2 linked regions of the Stegostoma tigrinum genome follow. The main gene of each other region encodes a partner of the protein of the gene in region 2 in a complex. Links are inferred from orthologs where the notes say so. Each region holds a gene or a part of one and is shown on either strand. Other genes may lie near its edges.

Evidence for each region. The genes of interacting proteins can lie anywhere in the genome.
Region 1: polr1e (region 2) and polr1f share a complex: the UniProt entries of both Homo sapiens proteins name them as parts of the RNA polymerase I (Pol I) complex. The link is inferred for Stegostoma tigrinum from reciprocal best matches to the Homo sapiens genes POLR1E and POLR1F.

What each region holds. Positions count from the first base shown.
Region 1 is NC_081355.1:73,093,607-73,100,616, forward strand, and holds the start of polr1f (DNA-directed RNA polymerase I subunit RPA43), read right to left. Parts: upstream 3,040-7,010; 5' UTR 3,025-3,039; coding exon 2,813-3,024; intron 1-2,812. UniProt on the Homo sapiens protein: Component of RNA polymerase I (Pol I), a DNA-dependent RNA polymerase which synthesizes ribosomal RNA precursors using the four ribonucleoside triphosphates as substrates.
Region 2 is NC_081356.1:12,667,738-12,675,268, reverse strand, and holds the start of polr1e (DNA-directed RNA polymerase I subunit RPA49), read right to left. Parts: upstream 3,024-7,531; 5' UTR 2,949-3,023; coding exon 2,879-2,948; intron 856-2,878; coding exon 752-855; intron 583-751; coding exon 506-582; intron 1-505. UniProt on the Homo sapiens protein: Component of RNA polymerase I (Pol I), a DNA-dependent RNA polymerase which synthesizes ribosomal RNA precursors using the four ribonucleoside triphosphates as substrates.

The DNA of each region.
Region 1 (7,010 bases), on a different chromosome or scaffold from region 2:
CAACATGGTGGTAAACTTCCCAGCCAATCAGCAGTCCATAAAACTACTTTCAATCATAATGTGATGGAAGCTGATATTGACTGTGCTATCATTGTACACAGTCAACAATAATCTACTCAATTTGGGTTCCACCGAGATCATTAGGCTCTTCAGCTCAATTCAGCGTTGATCCAAACATGGATAAACAGTAAGATGGTAAAGGAAACAATATCCTTCTTATCAAGTTACTGTTTGACGACACATGGCATCAAGTAGCCCAAGTAAAATTTCATCAATAGGAATTGGAGAAAACTGTCCATTTGTTGGAAGTCTAGTACAAAAGGAAGGAAATCGTAGATGCTGAAAGCCAACTCAACAGAGCAGTAGACCAAGTTCTTTAGCTGTTTTACGAATAACCTTTCCTTAATGTTATGATTAGAAGAGAGGACAATCTCTGATGATTACTCAAAGTTCAGTTTTATTTGCTATTCCTCAGCTAATGAGTTTATACTCACATGCAGTTAAACCTGGACTCCACAGGTTCAAGCTGATAAGCAACAAGTGCCAAAGTCTCCAACGAGACAGTGTCCAACCACCTCCTTTTAACATTCAATAACTAAAGAACTGACCATCTACTTCAAAAAGAAAGGAGAACACACCTTCATCTACATCAATGGAACTGAGGTGGAGAGTGAAGAGCATCAAGTTCCTTGGAGTGACAATAACCTGTCCTGGACTTAACATGTAAATGCCACAGTCAAGGCGGCACAACAATGCCTCTTTTTCTTCAGACAGTTCAGGAAATTTAGCATGTCCTTAGATACCCTCACTAAATTCTACAGATGCACCATAGAAAGCATCCTGTCCAGGTGCATAACGGCCTGGTATGGCAACTGCTCTGCCCAGGACTGTAAAAAACTACAAAAGGTTGTATGTATGGCCCAGACCATCACAGAAGCCAATCTTCCGTCCATGGACTTTAATTACACAGCTCACAGCTGCAGAAGGGTGACCAATATTATCAAAGACCCATCGCACCCTGGTAATGATCCCCTACAACCTCTTCTGTCAGGCAGAAGATACAGAAACCTGAATACACGCACAAGCAGCTTCTGTCCTGCTATTATCAGACTGTTGAATGGACTCTAGCCTCAAATAATGATGCTTGCAATGTAACCTGTATGCCTCTAAGTTGTTTTGATCTGTACATCCTTTGCTTACGAGCGTGACGGGCAGGTCATGGTAAGCAAAGCCTTTCATTATATTTCTGTACATATGACAATAAAAATCAGTGTTACTACAACAAATGGAATAATTGACACAAACACAAAGATGACCATCAAAACTTCCATCTGCACCATTAGACGTGGTGACAGATTTTTAAGCTTGAGTGCATCTGCACACGCACGGGTAACATTCGTAGGTTCTATTTGCATTAACATCTATGGTTACTCTTGCAGTGATGGTCCTACTAAAGCTGAATGTTTACACAGCTAGGGAAGCCTGGGACAGAGAGCCCAGGCAGAGCGACACTGGCTGTTGAGCAGTTCAGTGTCTCAAAGAGGGCAAGTGAGAGGGTGAACAGTTTTTCAACAACAGCATCTTCCCTTCTGCCAGACAAAGACTCGGCATTTTTCCAGCTAATGATTATCCGATGCAAGCTGCCAACTTAACTTGCAAGTTCTGCTCTCCCTTTAAGGTCAACATGCAACTGACTTAGAATCCCAGAATTATATATTTAAGCAAGTTAGCTAGTTCAAATTTCAGCCACATGACAAGGACAGACACTTCTTTTGTCCACAGCTGGCTTGACAAAATCAGCTCGTGACCAGCAACTGTGCGTCAGTTTTAGGTGGAAATACGATACAACGTAGGTATTTCAGAAACTTATTGAAAGTCATTTGATCAGCCTCAGCTATTTTATAAGTGCGGCAACATTATCCATTTTTAAAAGGAAACAGAATTTAACAAAATTATAGAAGAGAATACTTTGGAATTTAAGTTCATTGCCCTTGGCATTGACAAAAATGCTACTTAAATGGAAAGAAAGAGCAGAATGCTGCAACACAAAGGGTCTATCAGGTGTCCATGCACATAAATCAACTTACATATAGGTGAACAGGTAACTGAGCAAATATAATTTCTGCAAGGAGAACTGGAGGAGGGAGTGGCAAAAATAGGGGTAGAGATGGGGTTCGGTTTAAGAGAAGGTTGCCAGAAGGGGAGAGTTGAGATTGGGGTGAGCAAAAACTGGGCTACGGCTTTGGGAAGTTCAGTTGGGATGGGTGAGAGAAGAGGGGTAAGGAAGCGAAGTAAGGCGAACCAGTTCTGACATTGAGTTGGTAGAGTGATAGAGAATCTGGATCATCTGACCGGGTCCTTTGCTGGCTTCGGAGTGCTGATCCATGGAGTTCTGGTCTACAGAGGTCAAGCCGGATTTCAAATGTGTTTGTAAGAGTAATAGGAATACAGAATTGATTCTGTATTTTAAATCCATGGGCTAATGAGTTTGGAGTTTAAACCTTTGTTTTTAAGTGAGTTCCCTCCTCCACCCTCTGAAACTGATGCCCTCTCATTCAGCCTCTCCGGTCTTCCCCCGTCTTCTGTAATCTTTCCAAATCCCCAGTGCTCCCTCTCTCTTCTCCTCCACCTCTTGCCCCTCTCCTACATCCTCCTCACCCAACTCGTCTCACCCCGCACCCACCCTCACATCAGACGCGTGAAAAGGGAAAGTTTAAGAGTGATAACGGGCCAAACGCAGGGAGGTTTAGTTGAGGGAAAGCGGGTCGGCACGGCCGGGCTGGGCCGAAGGGCCTGTTTCCGCGCCCCTCACCTCTCGGAGAAACGGAGTAGCTCTGTCCGGAGCTGCTTCTCGATGCCGGATCTCTGCCGCTTAAGGAAGACTGGAGACAGGGTGATGTGCCTTCGGAAGGTGTCCAGCACCAGGCACGAGTACGGGCTCTTGATGAGGGAGCAGGCCTGGCTGAAAGAGAGCTGCTGTCCTCCCCCTGAGACCACACGGCCCTCCGGCCCAGAACTCGCCATGCTGCTGCTGCCGCCGTAAAGCGGCGCCGAGCTGTCGTAAAGTGGTTCACCGGCCACCAGGTGGTGCTGGTTTCCAGTCAGAACTGGTACGGGAAGTAGGAGAGGAATGAGCTGTAGGTGGTCAAGTTTATGCAACTGTGGTTATCACATTTACTGTCAGAATTCTCAATAGATTTAAAAATCATCCATGTCGAGAGTTAAAATCGTACTCTCTGTCCACCTGGAATGATTCCACTGCTGAAGGAGGCCATTCAGTGTGTTTTTTTTGTTACTTAGCGAGCCATCTGTAGTTCACCAGGTGCTGCTAACCCTCTACTTTTCCTTTTAACAAAATGAAGATAAAATTCCCTTTGATTCTGTCTCCACCACAGTCTCAGCCAGTGTATTCTAGACCCTAATAACTGAATTAAAACATTTCCCCTGAATGCTTCCTTTACCAGTTATCGAAAGTTTGTGTTCTGTAGTCTATAATGCTCCCATTAATGTTCACTCTCTACCTATTCTGTTCAAACACCTCATGATTTTCAACAATTCTGTTAAATCACACTTCAATCTCCTCCAAAAGGTACAATTCCACTTTGTCTAATCTACTGATGTTACTGATGTTTCTCATCTCTGCAGGCAATTTTGTGAATAGTTCTCTACTGGCAAGAATGAATTGTCCTGGAAACAGCCCTGAGAAAAGTATTCTTCTGTTCATTCCTTCATACTTCAGTCCTTACTTTGAGACGAGGCGATGGTCTCGAGATATTGCCACTGGACCAGTAAGCCAAAGACCCTGGTAATGTTCTGAGTTTGAATTCCACCACAGCAAATGGTGGAATTCCAATTTGATAAAAATCTGGAATTAAAAGCCTAATGATGACCCAGAAACCAATGTCAGTTGTTGAGAAAACCCATCTCGTTCACTAGTGTCCTATAGGAACGGAACTATTGTTCTCGCCTGGCCTGGCTCCAGACCAACAATAATGTGCTTGACTCTTAACCATCATCTGAAATGGCCTAGCAAGCCATTCAGATGTATCAATTACAAGAAAGTAATAAAACAGTGAAACAGGTCACACCCACTTGGCATTGACCAAGGAAAGGACAATAGCAAACACAACCCTGTCAACTCTATAAGCTAACTCTGACTTACTAACATCTGGGCTTTCAAGCCAAAATTAAGAGAGCTGTTTTATAGATTCATTAAGCAACTACTTGACATAATCATACACACAGAATGATACTTCACAGACAATGATCCACTGGCAGGACAGATCTAGTGGATATGACAATACAGTAGTATACAGTTAGGAGGGACATGCCGTGCGAGTCTTCAACGTTGATTCTGTTTGTCATGAGGTGCCACGGCATCAGGTCAAACATGTATAAAAACATTCTCCTGCTCTTTACAGCATACCATCATCCCCTCAGCACCCGGAGCAAGCAATAAGGGTGGTAGCAAGGCCTCATTTAATCAAGTGTGACATCTAGGAATTCTAGCAAAACTAGCATCAATGGGAATCAAGAAGAAAACTCTGCTAGTTGGAGTCAGTCCTAGCCAAAGGAAGTAGGTTGTGATTGATGGAGATCAATCATCTCAACTCCAGGATATCCATGCGGGAGTTCTACAGGGTAGCATTCTAAGCCCACTATCAGTAAGAAGAGCAAGTCAGAGGGAAGAAATTTTTCTGTAATTCCCAAAGTACCCCAAAGCCTGTCCAGCATGCACAAACCACAAGTCAGGACTCTGATGAAATACTCCCTACTTGCTTAGTGCAGCTCTCACATACTCAAGATACTTAACACTATTCAGGACTAAGCAGGCTGCTTAACTGGTCCCACATCCATCAAAACCCACTTCCTCCACTACTGATGCACAGCAGCCTCATTGGGTGCTATCTATGAGCAGCGTTGCAGAAATTCACCAAAGCTGCTTAGACAGCACCCTCCAAACCTACGATCACTTCCACTCAGAAAGTAAAAGGCAGCAGATATATGGGGACACTGCAAGTTTCCCTACAAGCCACTCACCATCATAACATGGAAATGTATCACTATTCCTTCAGCGTCACTGAGTCAAAATCCTGCAATTCCCTCCTTAAGGGCATTGTGCGTGTAACTACACTAACTTGAGGGCAGCTCACTATTATCTTCTGAAGAGCAACTAGGGAGGGGCAATAAATGCCAGTCCAGCCGGTGTCACCCATGCCCAATAAGTGAATAAAGAAAACTAGGAGATCAGATAGATGAATATATTTCAAAAAGTTGCTTTGAGGAACATGACAAGTTTTTTAGAAGTCGTATTTTATTTTCTTACTTGTTAACCTCATGGGTCGGTCATCATTGTTATATATTGATCTATTGCCTAGGCAGAGAAAACCTTTAAAACATATTTGGAGCAAAGGTATATCTCAAAAAGACTAGTTTCTCAGGTCATGATTACAGGAAGTTATTGATCCTTGGTCAGGCAAAAGTAAATTAATACACAAAATGACAAGTCATTTCTCTGAATTCTCTCTTAGGGAGATTCTTTAGCATATCTGGCACTCAAAATACATCTCACATCATCACATATGAAAATTCCCTTTTGGTCTTGATAGATCTGTGAAAGAGAGTACTAAAACTCCGAACCCAAACACCAAAAAGGCAGTCTGTCAAGGATATGCTGAGAAAATGTTGGAGCAGCCAGGATCCTAAAGGGAAGCAAAGATGGGATTATTCCAAGACCACAAAGAAACAAAACAGGCAGACTTATTCTTATTAAGTTAAATAAGAGGACACAATCCTCTTACGGGGTTAATGGCAGGATTCTTGGTAGTGTGGATGAACAGAGGGATCTTAGGGTTCACGTCCGTAGATCCGTCAAAGTTGCCACCCAAGTTGATAGGGTTGTAAAGAATGTGTATGGTGTGTTAGCTTTCATTGGCTGGGGAATTGAGTTTAAGAGCCGCGGGGCTATGCTGCAGCTCTATAAAACCCTGGTTAGACCACACTTGGAATATTCCATTCAGTTCTGGTCGCCTCATTATAGGAAGAATGAGAAAGCTTTAGAGAGGGTGCAGGGGAGATTTACCAGGATGCTGCTTGGACGTGAGAGCAGGTCTTATAAGGAAAGATTGAAGGAAGTAGGGCATTTTTCATTGGAGCGAAGAAGGATGAGAGGTGACTTGACAGAGGTGTACAAGATGATGAGAGGCATAGATAGTGTGGATAGCCGGAGACTTTTTCCCAAGGTGGAAATTACTATTAGGAGGGGCATAATTTTACAGTGATTGGAGGAAGGTGTCGTGGAGATGTCAGAGGTAGTTTCTTCACACAGAGAGTGGTGGGTGAGTGGAATGTGCTGCCAACGGTGGTAGTGCAGTCAGATACCTTAGGATCATTCAAGCGACTCTTGGATAGGCACAAGGATGATAGTTAAATGAAGGTTATGCAGGTTAGTTTTGATCTTACAGTAGGATAACAGGTTGGCGCAACATCGTAGGCCCAAGGGCCTGTACTGTGCTGTATTGTTCTACATTCTATGTTCTAATCGATTCCAAGTGACCTGTGTTCTTCATTGTTGTCACATTTGTGACCATAAGTTTTGCCTGATAAATTAAGTGACTCTGAACAGATTTGTTTATTGTACATTTTATCTTTCTTTGGAATAAATCAGTCAATAATTTGAATGAAAATTTACCTCCTTGACAATTAATGGGTCAATCATCAGAGAGATTGAATATGTCCATATGCTTCAAATACAGAACTTACACCGTTGCAAGTATAATATAGGGCAGTGGGAACCAAGTGCTGTGAAAGTTGGGTGCCCAGGTCAATAACAAGAGTAATCGACATCATTGAATCAGAGGATAGCTTTAGCGGAACAACATTCACAACAGTCCCTCCTAATATTTAATTTGCAAACAAAGGTAAATAAACACATTTATGTCTGTGACATTTACAATGTAGCACATCCTAACTCCTTAGTGATCTCGAACAAATTTGTTCTGGGAACCATT
Region 2 (7,531 bases):
TAAATACTATGTAATGCCTCTACTCAACAATAGAACATACCTTCTCTTTCATTTCAAAGGTTAGCACCAATCAAACTGTGTACCACCAATGCGGCTGGGTGGATTCCAATACTGCACAGAATGGAAAAAATATGATTTGTAGGTTCTTTGTCCAAAATGTGGCTGTATCTGGGAAAAGATTACTCTTTGTGTTTTATGGCATGGGAAATGCCATTTGTCTAAGCTACCTTATCCAAAAATGATATTTATCAATTCCTCACTGCTGTTCACATTTAACATAGATATTATGCTTGCTTTACACTGTAGTTGGTCAAATTGAAAGGAAGGCAATTTTGTTCTAGCTAATCTCAGGATTCAACACGTGAATAGGTACAAAAAGTGAAGAGAGCGTCTGATTGTCGCCACAACCTCTCCTATTTCTTCCCACATGTTGACAATCCTGTTGCATGTTTTCAGCACTTTTTAAAAATCGAATTCTGCCAATGATTCAAAGAAACAAACTTACTTGCACAACGAATTACACTTCAGAGCACTTGGTCCGAAATTATTTCCAACGTAAGTCAATCTATCCGTCTCAGCAGACTACAGTGGATGAAAAAGGAATCATTTTAAATGAAGTTAAACAATTTCAATGAGCTAGCAATGTTATTAAAGTAGCTTAAAGAAATCATATAATAACTTTAATCATGCCAGTTTTACTATGGAGCAAACTGTTGTAAATGTTTTACTGCGGAAGAACACCTGTCCTTACCAAGATCAGTTGATGCTTTTTCCGGGGATGATTTCTGTGTATATTTTTATGCAGCTGAAATTCCACATTTTCTGAATTTGTGAGTTTCCCATTGGAAAACTGAACTGCAAAACAGGACAGTGTTGTCATAAATTTCATTAGTGGCCCACGGGATATCTTTGTTCAGCAACCACATCAAACTAGCAGGGTTAATGATAAGAGTACAAAAGCTAACAAAGTGTGGAGCTGGACGAACACAGCAGGCCGAGCAGCATCTTAGGAGCACAAAATGATAATCTGGCAGTTTTGATGGTTATTTTATCTGGAATTTGCCTGTAACCGTTACCTATCAAATCTGCTACCACAACTAAACTTTCACTCTTCTGCCTCAATCCCTGTGCAGCTGAGCCAGTCATGAATGGCATGAACTTGGCTCCTGCCATACTCCTCTGAGAAGTGATTGCTCTCAATACCACCCAAAATAGAAAAAGTTAGTTAGTGAGAGAGGGTGGGGGATTTATACAGGGACTGGCAGTCACACTGTTCTGCTGGCATGCTATAAACGTTTGGTGTAGCCACCTCCTTAAGCATGCTATCAATGTAACCTTCAGCTTTGAGGATACAACACAGCAAGTCCACCTGTGCCATAATCAGTAAGGAAATCAAGGATTATGGAGAACAGTCAGAGAAGTGGAGTTGAGAATTATTAGATTAGCCATTGTCTTGCTGAATGGTCTACTTGCACGCCCAGATTTAATCATAAAATCCATACAGGGTGGAAGGCGGCCATTGGCTCATCAAGTCCACACCAACTCTCTGCACAGCTTTCCACCCAGAACCACCATATGCCCACATTCCTTGTGACTAGTCACCTGGTCTGCACATTCCTGGATTCTAAGACAATTTAGCACTGCCAATCCACCTAACCTGCACACCTTTGGACTGTGAAAGGAAACCCGAGCACCGGGAGGAAACCCACACAGACTGGTGCCCGAAACTGGATTCAAAGCCAAGTCCCTGGAGCTGTGAGGCATCAGTGCTAACCACTGAGCCACTGTGCCGTCCTGGTGAATTATCTCATCCACAGGACATCACTGCAAGAATTCCTCAAGATAGCATTTTAGGCCTAACCCATTTTCAGCTGCTTCAATGAGCTCCTTTCCATCAAAGCATCAGGAATGGGATGTTCACTGATAATTACATAATGCGGAATGACCCACATTATTAACAACCTGGCACTTACCAGTGGGCAGAAGTTGAGCTGAACTAGCTATTTAATACTGTGGATGCAAGATCAGATTAGAAGCTAGAAATTCTGCAGCAATAAGCTTACTTTCTGACTCCTTAAAGACTGTCCACCGTCTACAAAGCCTAAGTCAGGAATGCCACAGCATACTTCCCACTTACCTGGGTGACTACAGCTCTGGCACCACCAACAGCAAAGCAGTTTGCCCAGTATCCAACCTTTAAAGCTCTCCCCAGCAGCAATATTCAGCCACAGAAGTGTGCACCATCTCCAAGATGCACTACAGCAGCTCACCTAGGACCTTTAAACCGCACCTTCCAAACCAGTGACCTCGGCCACCAAGAATGACAAGGGCAGCCAGTACATGGGAATATCACTGCCGGCAAGTTCCACTTCATTTCACACAGACCCCTGACTGAGACCTATAGTGATAATCCCATCGCTGTTACTGGGTCAAAAATCCCGAGCAGGACTGTGGGTGCACCTACACACCCCAGGAGTCGCAGCAGTTCTGCCACTTTATTGAAGGCAATTAGGGGTGGGTAATAAATGTTGGTACAACTAAAAGATGCCAGATATTTATGCCAAAGATGCAAGAACGAAAGTATAAATAAATGAAAGAGTATCTGTAACGCTGTGACTTTTTTTTCAGATTTCCAGCACTCACAGTATCAGATTTTCAACTACTGCCCTTATATGAGCCAAGCTTCGCTTTTCCACGTCTGCACGACAGTAATTATACCGTAAAAAGTACACGGTGGGCAAAAGTGGTCTGAAAAGTCTAAGTGCTTATGAAAGATGCTACACAAATGCAAGTTTTGTTTCCCCGGCTGTGCCTTTGGATCTACATTCCCAGCCATTCCGCGCTGCCTGACTAATCCAAATATTCCCAGAGTCGCTACCGAGTGTCGCCGACTGCTCCGGATCCAATTCCGTTAAATTCCTGTACTTCCACACACCGAAAGCTGCCATCAGTACAAACACCAACCGGACGAACACTCCGCAAACGCCGACACCAGGCCGCACACTAACTTCTACCGGGCCCACGCCGCCCGGCGCCAGCGACACCGCCACCTACCGGGCCCACGCCGCCCGGCGCCAGCGACACCGCCACCGACCAGGCCCACGCCGCCCGGCGCCAGCGACACCGCCACCTACCGAGCCCACGCCGCCCGGCGCCAGCGACACCGCCACCTACCGAGCCCACGCCGCCCGGCGCCAGCGACACCGTCGTCCAGTATTAACATCATCAACAGTCCCACAGAACAGCGCTATCCAGAGGCCAAAGCTACATACATCATAGCTTAGGCGCAAATTACTGCAGATGGTGGAGTCTGAACTGAAAACTTTGTCTTTGCTTTACCTTTAGTTGTTGTACTCTCTGTCACCGTGTCCTCTCTCCATTCCCTCCTGTCCAGTAGGACTGTCTCTGTTCTTTCCAGTCTGGCAATTGGACACACCACTGTTCGGCCATTCTCACATTCTGATCATTTAATCTGCACTATCAACATCCTTTCTCCACCAGCCCTCTTATCTCCTCCACACTTCACATCACCTCTGATGAAGGTTCGTCTAGACTTGATATGTAAGCTTGCTTGATCTCCCCAGGTGCTGCCTGATCCGCTGTGGTTTTCAGCATTCTTAGTTTTCAATACATCGCAGTTTGATGATTTGGATCACGAAAACTACATTTATATAGCACCTTTAATGTACAAATTCTTACAGTGCTCTGAAATAAGTCAGTTCTGTAGCTGACTCATTTTTTTAACAACTTAGAGAAAGCCCTTTGTCCCTTGAGTCTGTTCCAACACTATAAGCCTCTAACTACTCTAATCCAAACTTCGAGCACTTGGCCCGTAGCCTTTCTGCCATGGCATTTCAAGTGTTCGTTGAAGTAGTTCTTAAATGTCATGAGGGTTCCTGCTTTACCACCCTTTTAAGCAGGGAGTTCCAGATATCCACCACTTCTGTGTACAAAATCTTTCCTCAGATCTTCCCTAAAACCTGATTCTTACATTTAAAAATGTGTCCCTGGTTATTGACCCTTTTACCAAGGAGAAAAGTTCCTTCCTATCTTCCCTATCGTATTGCCTTCATAGCAGGTCAGCGAGCATCCGAGGAGCAGGAAAGTCATCATTCATCATTCATCATTTTGGATCAGAACTCTCCTTTAGGATTCTGAGTCCTGCACCTCGGATGCTCTCTGACCTGCTGTGCTTTTCCAGGTCCATATTTTTTGACTCTAGCATCCAGCACCTGCAGCCCTTTCTGTCTCCATATTGCATTTATAACTCAGTACACATCAACCATGTCCCCCGCTTCAGACTTCTCTGCTCTAGTCTCTGTTAATAGCTGACTCACTACAAGCCAGGCAAACTCAACTCTCATGCAATCACTTCGTTTAGTGTGGCAACCCAGAACTGCACACAGTGCTTACGGTATGGCCTAATTCTGTTTCCTGGCTGTCATGATATTGTTAACCAGTCTCTCAACTCTTTCCGTCTTATTCTTACATGATTAGTGTTGTGGGATTTCTTACATGTATCTGATAGAGCATGTTGTGCCTCAACTTAGCATTTACTTCAAAAAACAGCCCCTACTAAGCACAGCATTTGAGTATCAACCAAGGCTTGTGATCAACTCTCAGGAGTGAGAACTCATCCTTCAGCCCTCTGACTGAGAGATGATTATGCTACCATTACTTTGTAAGCCAAGATTCAGGTCAGATTTCTGTTTCCAAGAGGAAACTGCTCACTTTCCAAATTGGATAATTCTGGTCGTGCTGCTCAGAAATATCAGAGGAGAGTAAAAACACAAGGAAATCCCGAGGTAATAATGTAACCAAATCTCAGTGACCTGCGAGGTCCTGTGCTACATGCAGGGGGGTGGGGTGCAGCTCAGATTTACACACACAACAGAACCCCACTAAACACCTGTTATAATACCCAATGAAGCCAGCAAATGCATGTTGCAATCTGGTTGGAGACCAGTAAGGTTTTCCTTGTTTAAGTTAAACAAAGTTTTGAGATTCCAGGTACCCTTCAACAAATTAAAGTCACAAGATTCCACCAGACAATAATAACTACATTTCAAATGTACTTCAATTGTCTGTAAAGTAATTGGTGACTATGAAAAGCACTATTTGAATGCAAATCATTTTTAAAATCAACACTGTAAGATTTTCAGTTCATTTGGGCTAATATATTCCTGATGAAAAAAGAAGGACAGGCAACACATAGGCTATAAAAATTCTCAACTTTGCAATTTCTCCTTTCACATTTTACTTGTAACTTGAATGAAGCATTTTCATAATATACAATGTTTTCTGATGCAAGTGAAGTCTGAGATGAAAAGTCTCCAATATCTTGCACCTTAATAAGTAAGTGATGAAATTAAGTTTCCAATTGTTCACTTTTCAGTTGCATTTTCAAAGGTTTTCACCAGAATGATACTAGGCAGAAGTGAGCCCAAGACTATCCTTTAAAATTTTATTCGGGACAATTATGAAGGCACGAAAATGGAGCTGGCTAAAGTAAAATGGTAAATTAGGTTTAAGGATGGGTCAATTAAGACCATAAGACCATAAGTCGTAGGAGTGGAAGTAAGGCCATTTGGCCCATCGAGTCCACTCCGCCATTTAATCATAGCTGATGGGCATTTCAACTCCACTTCCCTGCACTCTCCCCGTAGCCCTTAATTCCTTGTGAGAGCAAGAATTTATCAATCTCTACCTTGAAGACATTTAACATCCCGGCCTCCACTGCACTCTGTGGCAATGAATTCCACAAGCCCACCACTCTCTGACCACAGAAATGTCTCCTCATTTCTGTTTTAAATTTACCCTGTCTAATCCTAAGGCTGTGCCCACGGGTCCTAGTCTCCCCGCCTAACAGAAACAACCTCCCAACGTCCACCCTTCCTAAGCCAGACATTATCTTGTAAGTTTCTATTAGATCTCCCCTCAACCTTCTAAACTCTAATGAATACAATCCCAGGATCCTCAGCGGTTCATTGCACATTAAGCCTACCATTCCGGGGATCATCCGTGTGAATCTCCGCTGGACATGCTCCAGGGCTAGTATGTGCTTCCTGTGGTGTGGGGCCCAAAATTGAACACAGTATTCTAAATGGGGCCTAACTAGGGCTTTATAAAGCCTTAGAAGCACATCACTGCTTTTATATTCCAACCCTCTTGAGATAAACGACAACATGACATTCACTTTCTTACTCACGGACTCTACCTGCAACTTAACCTTTAGAGAATCCTGGGCCAACACTCCCAGATTCCTTTGTACTTCTGCTTCATGAATTTTCTCACCATTTAGAAAATAATCCATGCCTGTATTCTTTTTCCAAAGTGCAAAACCTCACATTTACTCACATTGAATTTCATCAGCCATTTCCTGGACCACTCTCCTAAACTGTCTATATCTTTTTGCAGCTTCCCCACCTTCTCAGTACTACCTGCCTGTCCACCTATCTTTGTATCATCGGCAAACTTCGCCAGAATGCCCCCCGTCCCTTCATCCAGAAGGACATGAAGCATGTTGTTGAGCTAAACTGTTAAATTTTCCTAGCCTTCCATAAAATTATGAACAAAAATTCTCAAACATTGTGGTCCTAGCTGCCGACATGCATCTCCAAGGGATGTATACTAGCTCAATACTGAATTTGGCAGGAAAAATTTGGGCCTAGCTTTCAAACCAGAAAAATTAGGCCAGCAGGGCATAATTAAAAATTCGTTAAAACTGATATCAAAAAGATCTTAAGTATTTATTCAGAGAGTGATAAAGCTTGGAATGATCTGCCAGACTTGCAACCACAAATACACAAGCATGTCTTTTTTTAATGTGTTCAAGAAATAAAAAAACAAATTCAAGAGAGACTAAAATTTGTTATCCTTTTGACACACTTTTAAAAAACAGTTTAAACAATTGTGATGCTGATGGCAAGATCAGACCTGTTGATCAAAAACAATTCTACAACTGTCAGACTTGTGCGTGAATTGCATAATTGAGATAGCTCCAGTTCCACAGACCACGCATGAACATAGATCTTAGAGTATGATCACTCTGGGGACAGAGTAACATAAAATGGAGCTCTCCTATAATTTACCAACGCTGCACTGATTCGTAGCAGGAGGTCTCAAGTTCTATCTTCCAGCTGAGTAAGTTAGCAGAACATAGGAGAGCCATAACTAGCCACAACATCCTGAAATGACAGCAAGTGAAAAAATACTGATCCCTTCTGGACGAACACTGGATGAGGCCAAGAAACAGACACCTCCTGTCTGCCGAAGGTGTAGCACATGCCTATTTACCTCCTCCTTCCCCAGTATCCAAGGGCCCAAGTAAACCTTCATACAATCTAGTCTACTGCATTTGCTGCTCACAAAGTGGTTTCCTCTACACTGGGGAAATTAAGTGTAGACTGGGTGTCTGCTCCGCAGAATATCTACGCTCCGCCCACAAAAAAGACCATTGGCTTCCAGTTGCCTGCCACTTTAACACACCTGCCTGTACCCTGGTCAACATCTCTGTCTCAGGCTTGCTACA